2 linked regions of the Caenorhabditis elegans genome follow. The protein of the gene in region 1 purifies or fractionates together with the protein of each later gene. This does not show direct contact. Each region holds a gene or a part of one and is shown on either strand. Other genes may lie near its edges.

Region 1 (7,133 bases):
CCAATAGTTGGCAAGAAAACTGAAGGTAAGTTTGTATGTGATATGAAAGTTACAAGATTTGGGCATGAAACAAATTGAATGAAATGTGCTATGTTCAATTTTAAGATTTGCCATCGGTTTTCATTAACTGGGCGGCCGAACAACGAGATCAGGGACATTCAGTTATGAGAGTCATGATTCTGGGAAAAGTTTACGCATGGCCATTGAATGGAAAAGCAGCTGCTGCAATTATTGATTCAACAACTGAAACAAATAAAGGAGATGACTATAGATTTTTTGATCCATGGCTTGGTGGCGGACTACTTTTAGAGGGATATGGTGAACGATGGAAAAGTCACAGAAAAATGTTAACTCCAGCATTTCATTTTGCCAAGTTGGGTGGTTACTTTGAAGTTTTCAATAATGAATCCAAGGTTTGAAACGATTAATTCAATTATATATCATTTCAGTGATTAATTTTCAGATTCTTATTGATCTTTTGAGTGATTTCTCTGCTTCTGGAGAAACTGTCGATATCTTCCCGTATGTCAAGCGTTGCGCTTTGGATATCATTTCTGAGACTGCAATGGGAATTAAAATTGATGCTCAAATAAATCATGATCATAAGTATGTGCAAGCTGTAGAAGGATATAACAAAATTGGAGTTTTAGTTTCATTTAATCCTCACCTGAAGAATCAATTCATTTTTTGGGCAACTGGGTATAAAGCTCAATATGATGATTATTTAAGTACTCTAAAAAGTATGACGGAAAAAGTTATCAAAGAACGAAGAGCTGCTCATGATTCCGGAGAAGTTGAAAAGGAGACATCCAAGAGAATGATGAACTTTTTGGATTTAATGTTGAGTATGGAGGAGTCGAATCAATTAACTTCTGAAGATATTCGTCAAGAAGTTGATACATTTATGTTTGCTGGTCACGATACAACAACATCTTCTACTTCATGGGCTTGTTGGAATTTAGCTCATAATCCGAATGTTCAAGAAAAAGTGTACAAAGAGATGATTGAGGTGTTTGGAGATGATCCAAATACAGATATTACACTGGAAAATGTGAATAATCTGAACTATTTGGATATAGTTCTCAAGGAATCAAAACGAATTATCGCACCAGTTCCTGCACTTCAAAGAAAATTAACAAATGATTTAGAAATTGGTAAGTTAAATTCTAAATGATGTGGTTTTTAAACCAAAAATATCTTGTTAAAATCTTAAAGTATTACAAACAGTTTTATATTAACTTTCTGCTGACTTACATATGTCTGAAAAAAACAGAACATCAATCCGCGTAAGTTCAGTAGAAAATGTGAATTAACGGCACTTCAGTTAAATTATCAATTACTATTGTCAACATTCAAGTACTCCCCAATTTCAGAAAAGTTTCTGCATAAAAAATCTCTGAAATTAAGGAAAATAATAAACTATCAAAAACCAAATGTTAGAATAAATGATTTAATTTGATTATTTTCAGATGGATACATAGTTCCCGCTGGTGGCAATGTGACAATATCTCCAATGGTTCTTCACAGCAATCATCACGTGTTCAAAAATCCAACAGAATTCAATCCTGACAGATTTCTTCCGGATGAAGTTTCAAAGAGACATCCGTATGATTTTATGCCTTTCTTGGCTGGTCCTCGTAATTGTATTGGCCAAAAGTTTGCGCAACTAAATGAGAAAGTAATGATTTCTCATATTGTTCGAAACTTCAAAATTGAACCAACTCTGAAATATAATGACACAAAACCATGTCTGGAAGTGGTAACAAAACCATCGAATGGGATTCCAGTTCGATTAATTCGCAGAAACTAGAGCATCGTTCAGTTACCTGTATATTTTCACATTTTTAAATAAACGATTTTACCTAAAAACCAATTACTTGTCTCTCAACAATCATTGCCCATTCCATCATTGTCATCATTATCGTGTCCCTTTAAACAAGTAGCAATTATGACCGTTGTCGTTTCGTTTTACTGGACGGCCGCAATCGTCCGCGCGGTGAAAAAGAGGAGAATACCGGCTCGTTTGTTACCAGACAACGGACTATAAAATGGATAAGACACGTTTTTATTTTTGCCAGTGTTCATAGAATTCATTTATTGTTCATGCAGTTATTTAGAAAAATAACGTTGTTGTTTTTTGTTTAGAAAAATAACGTTGTTGGTACGTAATTTTCAGTGGTTTTATACTGGGTGGTGATGGAAAGATCAACCTAACACCACACCAAAACCAAAAAGTAGACTGCGCCTAGGTAGGCATAAAGATATGCCTGTCTACTATGGAAGTTTGAAATCAAAATCTTTAACTCTATTTTTTCTGAATACAACATTATTTTTGTTTCAAAGAGAGGCTCCGAGTTTTTTTCTTTAGAAATTTCAGAAGCGTTTGAAATTATCCTTAATCACAAAAAAAAAATAAAGTTAATGTAAATGACACATTCCAATTCAAATTTTTGTGTATTTTATAAAAAATTGTTTTAAAAATTAATTAGAATTCTCTCACTGTTCGTCGAACAAACTTCTTCCAAAAATATACAACACATGGACTGTGTAGTCTAATCTTATCAATTCTTGTGTATTCTTGAAACATGCAGATAAGATTGGTTTATATGTTTGTGGCTTTGGGTTTTGGATTTCTTTTATTTTTAGTTGGCATTGTCAGTTACACCCATGTTTATTCGCTTTTTTCTTTTGCAATGCAAAATGTTCGGTTTATATCAATCGAAATTAATTTGATTTTGAATTTGTATAGCCTATAAACAAATTGAAAATCGTACATTGTAGCTTCTGTTGTTTAACAAAATTGAGAACATGAACAAGATTAGTCATACCTATTCAGTTGTTGTGTGTTTGATGTGATATCACTCTTAATCACTCTTCTTCTATCATCGCTTTTAGTGCCTCTGAATAGAGTGAATCCGGTTCTTTCAGACACACCTCAGTCTTTAAATGCCGATGGTTCAGGGTGCATTTTCACCTCTTCTTGCCTTCATTTCTTTTTCAATTCTTTCCATGCAGATCCGATTTAATGTTTTCGTGTATCTCACAGTGTCGCAGGTCGCAGTATCTATGTATATCTACGGGTATCATCATCTCGTCAACCGATAACCCCATTTTGAATAAGAGAATCAAGGATCTCTTTTCGATTATCGGTGGTCTCATTTTCAATGTTTGCCCTCCATTCTGTGGCGTCTCTTATTCTTCTTCTTACTCTATTTTCTTTTTTTTTAAATTTAACTTACATTTTCAAAATATCAATTTTTCAGGAGATGCTAGTCCTCACCATTGTTATTTCCTCCATTGCGGTAAGTTTTGTGTCGGCACTAATTGAACTGATGATTGGAAACTGTTCACTGCAATATTAAAGTTCAGGTAGCCATGGCTCAGGACTGCTCCACACCTGCAGCCACCCGTGCGTCCTTTGGATCTTACCTGCAGTGTATCAAGGAAGGGCTCGACGCTGACTACGGTAATTATGAAAACGAAATCCGTGAGCACTCCAAGTATGTTTCAACTAATATGAAGCTTTCAATATTATCTGATACTTAAGAAAAGCTGCCGCGACTTGCTTTGCTTCCACCATCGAGGAGGGAAATCAGAAGGATCGTTGCGTGTTGGCTGCTAACGATTTGTCTCATAACGCTTGGGACAAGAACGGACCACTGAGAGAATGCTCTATCTGCAGAACCTTTGCTGCCGGAGCCATCAAGGCTATCAAGGCAACCCCAGCTGAAGATCAAAAATGTATCAGAACTGAAGTTTCAAAGGCTATCGCTCGTGAGGCCAACTATTGCCTCCAAAAGAAAATCGCTAACTTCGCTGGAGTTCCAGACATTCCAGATCTCGAGGAAGGATCATTCCAATACAAAGACTCGGTGTAAGTGTTCCATATCATCCGCTAACATCATAACCACTGATAAATCAATTTTAATTCACTAAAACAATCATCTCTTCAGCATCTCCTCTATCTCTGACCATATCCTTATCCAGTCTCGTCTCTCTTTCTGCGGAGAACGCAAGCCACAACGTGCCGCATCTACCCGTAACTGTCTTGCCAGTCCATTTGTTGGATATTTGAGCGGACACTGCAAGGTTCTCGCCAATTGTGATGCTAAGTTTGTTGGACAATGCGGACAAACCATTCCAGCCACACGCAAGGCCACTTGCGAATGCATCACTGAAGCCAGAGACGATTTGAAGAAGCGTATTGGATCCATCGCCAATGTCTTCAATGATGTAAGAGGATTGAGTTGAACTAGAGAATTTGTATATTTCCCAGTATATTTTAAGCACAAATGGAAACGTTTTGGTTGCTTATTTAAAACCAGAAAATATTTTGTTTCAGCTTCTCTCCGGAGGACGTGGGCTTGCCATCGGATCTGCCAACAAGGTCGATATTTGTACATCTCAAATCAAGAAACAAATGATCACTCCAGTCAACGATTGGGTCAATGTTATTGATACTGCTCTTTCCTCATGCATCCGTAACAAGCCAGCTGGACAGAATCTCGCAATGGAGGCTCTTCTCAATGTTGGATGCCGTAAAGTTATTGCTGATACAACTGGAGCTGCTACCACTCAACTCAAGACAGGATTCGACTTTGTCAACAATCTTATTGATGCAATGGTTCAGCGTAGTGGACGCTTCTGTGGTGGAAGTCATTGCCTTCAGGGATAGATTGATTCGATTAATTATAATTGTATTACCTTCTTTTAATTTAAAAACTTATTTATTAATTTTTGAACGTGTATCAGTTTCTCTTGTATTGTTGAATAAATAATAAGAGTTTCTTTAAAGATGAACTATTTCTGTGAGAAATTTCAAAATTTCGAGATGTATATTATATAGCTAGGATTTGTGAAAATTTTGATGCATCGAAATTATTGAGAAGAATATATTTTGATGGTAAAGAAATTAATGGCAAGAAGTTTTAACCAAATCATTGAAAATCAAAAACAGGATGATCAATAAAGTCAGCAATGCACGATGATGTACTTGTACAAGCTTCCTCAGCTCCTTCTAGCTCAACCATCATCACTGAATTTTCTCCAATTTTCAAGAATTCTGCTGGAATGTACAAAGTCATTTGTGGACCTTTAGTTGGCCAATATCTTCCAAAATTTCTTCCATTCACAATTGCAATTCCTTTTCCCCATCCAGTAGTGTCAAGCCATGTATCAGTTGGGGCATCCACACTAAGAATTCCAATGAAAACTCCCTGTTTTTGATTACTTTTAACATTCTTCCGGTAATTGTTTCTCATTGCTTTTCTGAAGTAGAAGTCTTCTTGAAGAGGAAGCTTGATTCCACATTGAGTCCAAAATTGAATCGCCTGTCCATTCATAAAAACATCCGAAAGAATTCCCTAAAATTCAGACATATAATCCGCAAAACAAAAAAAAATGATCAGCTCTACCTTTCTATCATTAATTGTTTCGAATGTTTTTCTTCCTTGATTTTCGACCAACATAAAAAGCCGATTCTCTTCATTCTCCAGGCAACCTTCAATGATCACTGAGTTTCTGGTCAGGTTGTAATATCTTCGCGTGAGAGTGTCAATGTACTTTCCATTGAGATAAACATGAACAAAATCTCCAAATGAGGGAATTGTCAAGTTTCCACATGAGTTAATTTTCTGTAAACTATGATTTAAAGATACTACTTTATAGCATTTTAAGCATTTTGAAAAAAACCGCTTATACTTTGATCACTTTTTGTCGATAAAAAATTTAGCCAATAAAAATTTAAACCCAAAAATAAATTTCTAACAAACTCACTGCCTGATAAGCTACCAATCCTAATGGATGCTTCAATGTCTCAAAACTGATTGGTTTATCAGTTTCAACACAATCTCCGGGATCTCCCAATGAAGTTAGTGTTTTCAATTTTTCAACGGAATGCACTAGTCTCATCTTGATTTTTCCAAATCTTCCTTTTCTGTAACTTGGAAATATTTTTAAACCGTTTTCTATAAAACTTACGGTGAATTTCCTGGAACATCCAATGGTGGAGTTGGCCAATCAGTCAATCCTTTGATCCATTTTCTTATTTCCAAATATTTGGTTGTTACATCTCCAGATTCACTAATCGGAGCATCATAATCGTAAGAAGTAATGCAAGGAGCCTCAGTTTCTGCACCATTCCAAAATCCAAAATTGGTGCCTCCGTGAATCATATAATAATTGAAACTGGCACCAAGAGAATACATAGTTTGTGATCCATTGATTATTGTTTGTGGAGACGGTAAATTTTGCTTCTTTTGTCCCCAAAGTACCAACCATCCAGGATAATATTCCGAATTTACTAGAGGGCCATTCGGTGCAAATTTTCTTTGTAATTTAAAATTGTTTTCGATTTCTTTAGCATCATCAGTTGGACCAAAGTCTACAGTTGGAAATACTCCTTCCACTGTTCCACATTTTAGCAGAGACTCGGCAGAACCATCAGCTGAATAAATTGAATAATTAGATAAAGTGTTCATTTACTCACTTGTGAATAATAGAACATCATCCCCAACGAGTGATCTTGTAAGATCTCGCAAGAATCGAAGATATTGTTGATCGCATGCATCGTAACTACCGTACTCATTTTCAATTTGAAGCATCAGGACAGGTCCACCGTTTTTACGTAAAAGTGGCTTGACTCTTGGAAGAAGAATTTCAAACCAATTCTCGACTTCGCGGGTAAACCTTAAATTATGTGATTGAACATTTTTGTTTAATTTTAACTAACACTCGATCACTACTTCTTTGCTTTGTCACATTTTTGTTGAGAAGCCACCATGGAAGCCCTCCATTTTCCAATTCTCCACAAATATACGGTCCTAAATTTATTTGTTTTTATTTGAAACTGTGAAGGACTTTCAACATACCGACTCTCAAAATTGTCCATAATCCATATTTATGAAAAGCCATCATGGAAAACTCTGCGAAATCGAGAAGTCCAGAAAAGTCATGACTGCAATTATAAATAGTATACGTTGATTGTTTAAATCTTTTGAAAATGTTCTTACTTTCCTTCTTCAAGCTCGTGCATATTCCATGGAATATAATACTGAATTGCATTAAATCCAAGAGCTCGAACTTTCCCGAGACGTTCGTCCCACCGATCACGAGGAATTCGGAAATAATGAATG
Region 2 (6,425 bases), on another chromosome or scaffold:
TCTTTTCACTCTATACTCCAGAATAAGTGAGGAGACGACGCATCCAACCGAGAAGTTGCCTACCTACCTCAATTATGAAACCGGATTCCGGGACGGGCTGGACCCCTCTCCGGATTTGACTCATTTTTGTTGTTACCTTAATTCGAGCTGTTTAGACTGTCTCTTTTTTCAAAAATAATTTTTTTGGTTTTTTGTTTAATCAATTTGCCACGTGTCATCGTTTTTTACGGAGCGTTTTCTATGTGGCCGAGTTTTTGCATTTTCTCGGCCACCAAGCAAAAAGCGTAATCTTCGATAACAAAACTCTTTTTGAAGTGTGGCAGAGTTTACTACTTTTTCAAAGAGAAAAACAAAATTTTCGTAACGTGGCCGAGTTTTTGTATTTTCTCGGCCACCAAACCTAAAATCGATTTTTCAGAAGACAATTGCACATTTTTCAACGTGGCCGAGCGTTTCCTTTTCTCGGCCACCAAATAAAAAACTTTTTTTAAAGAAAAATAAATGTTTCAGATGATTGGCCGAATTTTCGGTATTTCTAGGCCACCAACTTAAAAGCTATTTTTTCGAGCTTGCTTCGTGGCCGAGTTTTTTGTTGTTTAAAAAAGTGGGAATACTCTGTGTTTTTCTAGGTCACTTGGCTGTTCCACCTAATTTTTGAGCTTTCTGCTCTCAGTGTAAAATATTAGCCAATATTTTGAAATTTCTGATTTTTTTTCAGAAAAAATGCTGGAAAGTGGAAAATCCACTTTTTCTCCAATTTTTCTTGCGATTTTTGGCTAAATTGCAAATTTCTAAAAAATCTCGTTCTTTTAAAATTTCAATCAATTATTGATTTTTCGTCCTTCCAGAATGACGCACGTGTTGCTCTTTTTCCTGACCGCCGGTATGGTTCTCTCGTGTGCTCCGCCGGGATTCGTACAGTCGAATGACCCGTCGCAAGTCGGAGCCCGGTGCTCCGACCTCATACTCTATCCCGTTTCGGCCGTTGATCAAACCGATCAATACAGGTATCATCAATATTATTGATTTTTATTGATTTTTCTTCTAAGTGCTGAAGCTTTAGATTCGACTATAGTGATGTTTCATTCGGCAACACTCATGCTCAGGGAGCAACTGTGGCGATAACGTGTACGACGGGCGGCCAAGCGGCCACAGTTGAAGGATACGACCAGGTGAGTCCAGTTCCGTTGCCATTGGAGTTTCGGAAGACAAAAAGAGCAAAAAATAATTCGTATAGTGGTCAAGAATATGAATTATTTAGTTTTTTTGTCCTGAAAATATAATTTTTCCAGGCCCAAATTCCGGGAAGACTTGCGAAATTCAGATAAAAATTTAATGTTCTTGAATTTTGTGCATTTTTTTTATTTCATAGAAAAGATTGAGAAATTTAACCAAAAATTTTAATGCAATTTTCTGCTTTAAAAAATCCAGAAAATTTTTCAAATTATCAGCGAAAAATCGGATTTTTAATCGAATTTCTTGGTAATTTGGTCTCGACGCGACACATGTTCCTTAAATGCAAAAAGGTGTGCGCCTTTAAAGAGTACTGTAGATTCATACTTTTGGTGCAGCGGAATTTTCAACGATTTTTTGTTATTTTTCGATTCAAAATAGTATTTCATTTTTAAAAAATTACAAATGTAAAGTAAAAAGTACGAAAAACTATGAAAAATCGATGAAAATCGCGCAGAAACAAAAATTTGAAACTACAGTACCCTTTAAAGGCGCACACCCGTTTGTATTTAACGGAAAATAATCGTGTCAAGACCGGGTAACGCATTTTTGGCTCCAAAATCGATTTTTTTTTTCTTAAATTTCCTCTGATTTTCGAAATTTCGGGGATTTTTTTAGAATTTTAGAAAAAATTACAATTTTCGCTGAAAATCCGCAGACTTTCCGTATCTTTTCAGCTGTGAAAACTAAGAAACCACAAGGAACAATTATTTTTATTTTTCTTAATTTTTCAGCAAAGAGCTTCAATCTCAGCGGCTCCGTCTCTGCTCGCCACTTGCACAAACGTTGGCGGCTCCCAGTACACGTGGACGATCCTTGGCAGAATTTTGCAGTTCGTCGATTGCAGATTTTAATTTCTAATTTCCCCCAATTTTTTTTTTGAATATTCTCCTCCCTAGAGATACTCGCCCATTGCAATATTTTCGTCTTTCCATAACCTGCCACGTGTATATTTTCGCAATTTATGAACTCTTTCTGTTAAATTAACTCTAATAAATCGCTTGACGTTCCACGTGACCAGTTTCCCGGAGGAGAATACCGGTCAATTGCGTAGCTTGGCTAACCAATTACTGCACTTTTGACATAGCAGCGGTAGCAGCAGCAGCATTGAAACGAAAATGATGACAAGTGTGAATTTTCATAAATATTGAGGGAAATCAAATAACTTAGCAGTATAGTCGCACAGGGGAAAATACAATAGAAGATCGAAAAACGAAACGATTTTAGAGGACTTGTTCGATGTGCGGTGGGAAAGAGAGATGTGGAGTTGGTGTCTGCACGAATGGGAATCCTGGTTTGTCGGGACGGAACAGCTCGAACTGTGAGCCGGCTTTGTTGATCACGGCGAGACGGACAACTCCGCCGGAGGATCCGTCACGGAAGGTGGCGAGTCCGACGGCTTGCTTCACGATCGCCTTGCACTCCTCGAGCGTCAAGTTTGGTCTCCATTGACTGTCGAGGAAGCCCTGCACGAATGTGGAACCGGAGCCGGAAGCTGTCGATCGCTGGCGGGACACGAATCCTCCGATTGGGATTGCGTAGACCTGGCCGCCGAGCTCCTCATCCCAGCCGGCGACGAGCACTGAGGCGGAGAGCTGCTCGCGGTAGTTGTAGAGGAATTGGCGGAAAATCTGGCTCGAGCGGTAGATTGTCACTGGCTTGTTCTCTGTCATGCTGAAAAAAGTGATTATTTAAAAAAATTATTTTATTTAATTTTAAAACAACTGAAAATTCCTTACGTATAAACATCAATATGGTACTTGGCAATATCGGCGATCGCTTGAGTGTCCGCTGCAGATCCAGAACGGCACACAACCATATTATCGGTGATCGGGGTGATTTTGTTGGTGGCACGGGAGGTGATGAACGAGCCGGCGCTGGTTCTCGAGTCGGTTCCGACGACAACTCCACCGTTGTACTCCATAGCGATGAGAGTGGTCTGAAAATTGAGCTTTTAGTGGAAATTTCAATTTAAAAATCTCACTCCAGTGCTGATTTCTTCCTGTGGATAGAACCCGATTGCCGGAATGGCTTTGCGCTTCTCATCTCGCATAGTATCCATTATCTGCAAAATATCGACTTAAATTCATTTTTTAAAAGTTATTTTAACGTTAAGAAATCAATAATAATGTATAAAAACAAATTTAGTAGTTATTTTTCAGAATAAAATCATTAAAAACGAGAAACCCGAGCAGAAAAAACATTGTCATCAAATCTCAATGCAGCAAAAATGACGTTTGAATTGGCGCTCCACCGGACTGCCTGCACATCTAACTTTCCTGGCACGCGGCCAACATTCGATTTTGGGACGATCGACACGTTCTGGCCACATTTTCTTTGATTTTTTCTGATTTCGCCGACTTTTTTCCCGTTAAAACTGGTTTTTATAACTAGTTTTCCATGTATTTATTAGTTTTTGTCATGTTAGTCACTGAATATCCATGATTTCTCGCCCTCACTGTCTTGGATTTTTGTTTCTCTGAATTTTCGCCATTTTTGATTGAAATTGTGACATTCAACCGTTTATTTTTTTGTAATTCCTCGCAACTGATAATTTCTTTTTTCTAAAATCAATTATTTGCAGTAATGTCGGACAGAAATTGCTACAAGTGCCAACAGCCGGGACATATCTCCCGCAACTGCCCGAATGGCGAGTCCGATGGTGGACGTAGAGGAGGTGGAGGAGGTGGAGTGGTGTTGAATTTGGGGTGTTGAGTTGATTTAGGTAAATACATTATCTCTTGATTTCTTACCGAATTGCAATAATTTTTGAAGTTCTGGAGAAGTGGAGGCGAAGAGAAATGTGTTTAAGCTGGCGGAGATTAGGAGTTATTTGATGATAAATTTACAGCGGAAATCTCGAGACTAATTTCATGTTATTTCAGGATCCACCTGCTACAACTGCCAAGAGACTGGACACTTCTCTCGCGATTGCCCCAAGGGAGGATCCGGAGGAGGACAACGTGGAGGTGGCGGCGGCGGTGGATCGTGCTACAACTGCGGAGGACGTGGACACTACTCTCGTGACTGCCCATCCGCCAGATCTGAGGGAGGAAGCGGTGGCTACGGAGGCCGCGGTGGAGAAGGCAGAAGCTTCGGCGGACAAAAGTGCTACAATTGCGGACGCTCCGGGCACATTTCCCGCGAGTGCACCGAGAGTGGCTCGGCCGAGGAGAAGCGTTGCTACCAGTGCCAGGAGACCGGACACATCTCCCGCGACTGCCCAAGCCAGACCAACTAAATCAATCATCATTCCCCCCATTTTCGTTGTCTTTTCATTGTTCTGTAACTCGAAATAATGTATTCAACTGAAACTTTCGTTCACTCCTTTTTCCAATAATCCTCTTCCCCGCATCTCAAATATTATATGTGAATGCTGGTTGCAGCTATTATCCCCCATCCCAACCTCTGAACCTCTTGAACGAAAGTGGTAATAAATTGTTGATTAAAGTCGTCGTCTTGCGCTCCTCCTCTTTCGCATCGGAAGTGAAGGCGACGTGATGCTCTCACATGGGTTTCCATAGCAACGCGCGCTCTCGCCGAGCAACTCGCGCTGCTCATTCACTCACTTTCGCATATTCTGCGGGAGCCTCGAACAATGAGCTGTTGTTTTTCGAAAAAGCTTTTTGGGCGCCGGTCTAAACGTGAGGATCGCTACAAGGTCAGCGAGGATGCGGTGCCGAAACCGGAAGAGGGAGGTGAACCTCCAAAGTATTCGTGGTAAGTGGAATTTGTGGTCTCGCAGTGAATTTTTTAAAAAAATTCGATTTCGCTGCAAGACCTGTTGCAATCATTTTGATAGCGCCTCTCTGAGGTTTCTAGGTTTCGTTTCTTTAGATATTTAGGTCTGGAATTCAAAAAAAGATTAAAGGCGCATCGCTGCGGGACCCGAAAAATTAATTTTTAAGGGATCGTCGAGAAAAAGTTAATGCCGAAGACTTTACAATTGCGAATATCCATAACACGACTCTGAAAAAGGAGTCGAAAGATGGTGGACCACTTCAAATGGAGAATTGCACGGTACGGTTTAAAGGCGCACGTATCGTGGCGAGACCCGATAATTTCTTTTATAAACTGATACAATAATTTAAAGTGGAAAAGGAGTCTCAGCAATTTCCGAAAAATAAAAATATCGTTAAAGAAAAGAGCGGAATTTGAAATTCCCTTCCGCATTTTTTAAAACATTTAATTTTCAATAAGATTTTATCAATCTCCCGTATACTAAATTTTCCGATTTTTGATGTGAAAATACGGTACCCGTTCTCGACACGGCAATTTTTTTAAAACACAAAAACGTGTGTGCCTTTAAAGAGTACTGCATACATACTGTAATTTCAAACTTTTGTTATTCCGGGGTTCTTATTAATTTTTCATCGTTTTTCTATCATATAAAAATATGTTTATTTACTTTTTAAAAACTAAAATATTAAAAAAAAACTCTAAATTTTTAATAGATTATGGAAAATCGATAAAAATTCCGCAGCAACAAAATTTTTAAAATACAGTACTCTTTAAAGGCGGACACCCGTTTGTATTTAACCGAAAATTACCGTGTGGAGACCGAATACCGTATTTTCGGCGCAAAAATCGCAAATTTTAACGTCTGGGTAATAAATTTGAAAAACTTTCTTTGAAAATTTAAATATCCGCTGATTTTTTTCAAAATTTCTTAACAATATTTTTTAGAAACATGTTTTCGCAAAATTTTCATTATAAAAATGCAATTTATCTGAAAGTCCGCAAACTTTCGGGACCTTTTCAACATTGTAAAGCATTTTTTTTTGGAATTTTTTTAGAGACATTTTTTAATGCACACGTGTAGTCAGAAAGTCCCATTTCGGTTTGATCTTCGAAAAATGCGCGAGGTGAGACGCAGACATCTCATCTGATTTCGCGCATGGTTAAGAGCGTGTTGACGTCCCAATTTTTTTGGGAAAAAAATTCCCGCATTTTTTGTAGATCAAGTAGATCAAGAGTAATGGGACAGCCTGGGACCACGTGAATGCAGAAAAAAAAACCCTTCAATTCCAGGACTCAACAATCCTGTACCTCTACCAAACATCTCAAGTGATTATCGACGATTGCCGCCATTGCACCATCGTGCTCGGCCCAGCGGCGGGCAGCGTTTTCGTGCGTGATTGCGCGAATTGCACAATTTTCACCTCGTGTCAGCAGTTGAGAACACGTGATTG

Evidence for each region. The genes of interacting proteins can lie anywhere in the genome.
Region 2: the proteins of T19B10.2 (region 1) and K08D12.3 fractionate together in Caenorhabditis elegans (co-fractionation; one large-scale study listed by BioGRID). This does not show direct contact.

The regions. Positions count from the first base shown.
Region 1 is NC_003283.11:11,218,039-11,225,171, forward strand, and holds T19B10.2 (DUF19 domain-containing protein), read left to right. Parts: upstream 1-3,263; 5' UTR 3,264-3,266; coding exon 3,267-3,302; intron 3,303-3,369; coding exon 3,370-3,500; intron 3,501-3,547; coding exon 3,548-3,874; intron 3,875-3,953; coding exon 3,954-4,233; intron 4,234-4,342; coding exon 4,343-4,675; 3' UTR 4,676-4,787; downstream 4,788-7,133. Other genes in the region: cyp-29A2 (Cytochrome P450), read left to right, coding at 1-25, 106-413, 464-1,154, 1,470-1,810; bgal-1 (Beta-galactosidase), read right to left, coding at 4,938-5,363, 5,415-5,633, 5,776-5,935, 5,980-6,445, 6,488-6,687, 6,731-6,821, 6,870-6,955, 7,011-7,133.
Region 2 is NC_003282.8:1,706,448-1,712,872, forward strand, and holds K08D12.3 (CCHC-type domain-containing protein), read left to right. Parts: upstream 1-3,817; 5' UTR 3,818-3,819; coding exon 3,820-3,919; coding exon of another isoform or gene 3,920-3,948; intron 3,949-4,118; coding exon 4,119-4,474; 3' UTR 4,475-4,680; downstream 4,681-6,425. Other genes in the region: pugs-4 (C6 domain-containing protein), read left to right, coding at 850-1,007, 1,064-1,172, 1,968-2,087; pbs-1 (Proteasome subunit beta), read right to left, coding at 2,457-2,907, 2,973-3,172, 3,218-3,295; rpi-2 (Protein XRP2), read left to right, coding at 4,832-4,953, 5,142-5,253, 6,265-6,425.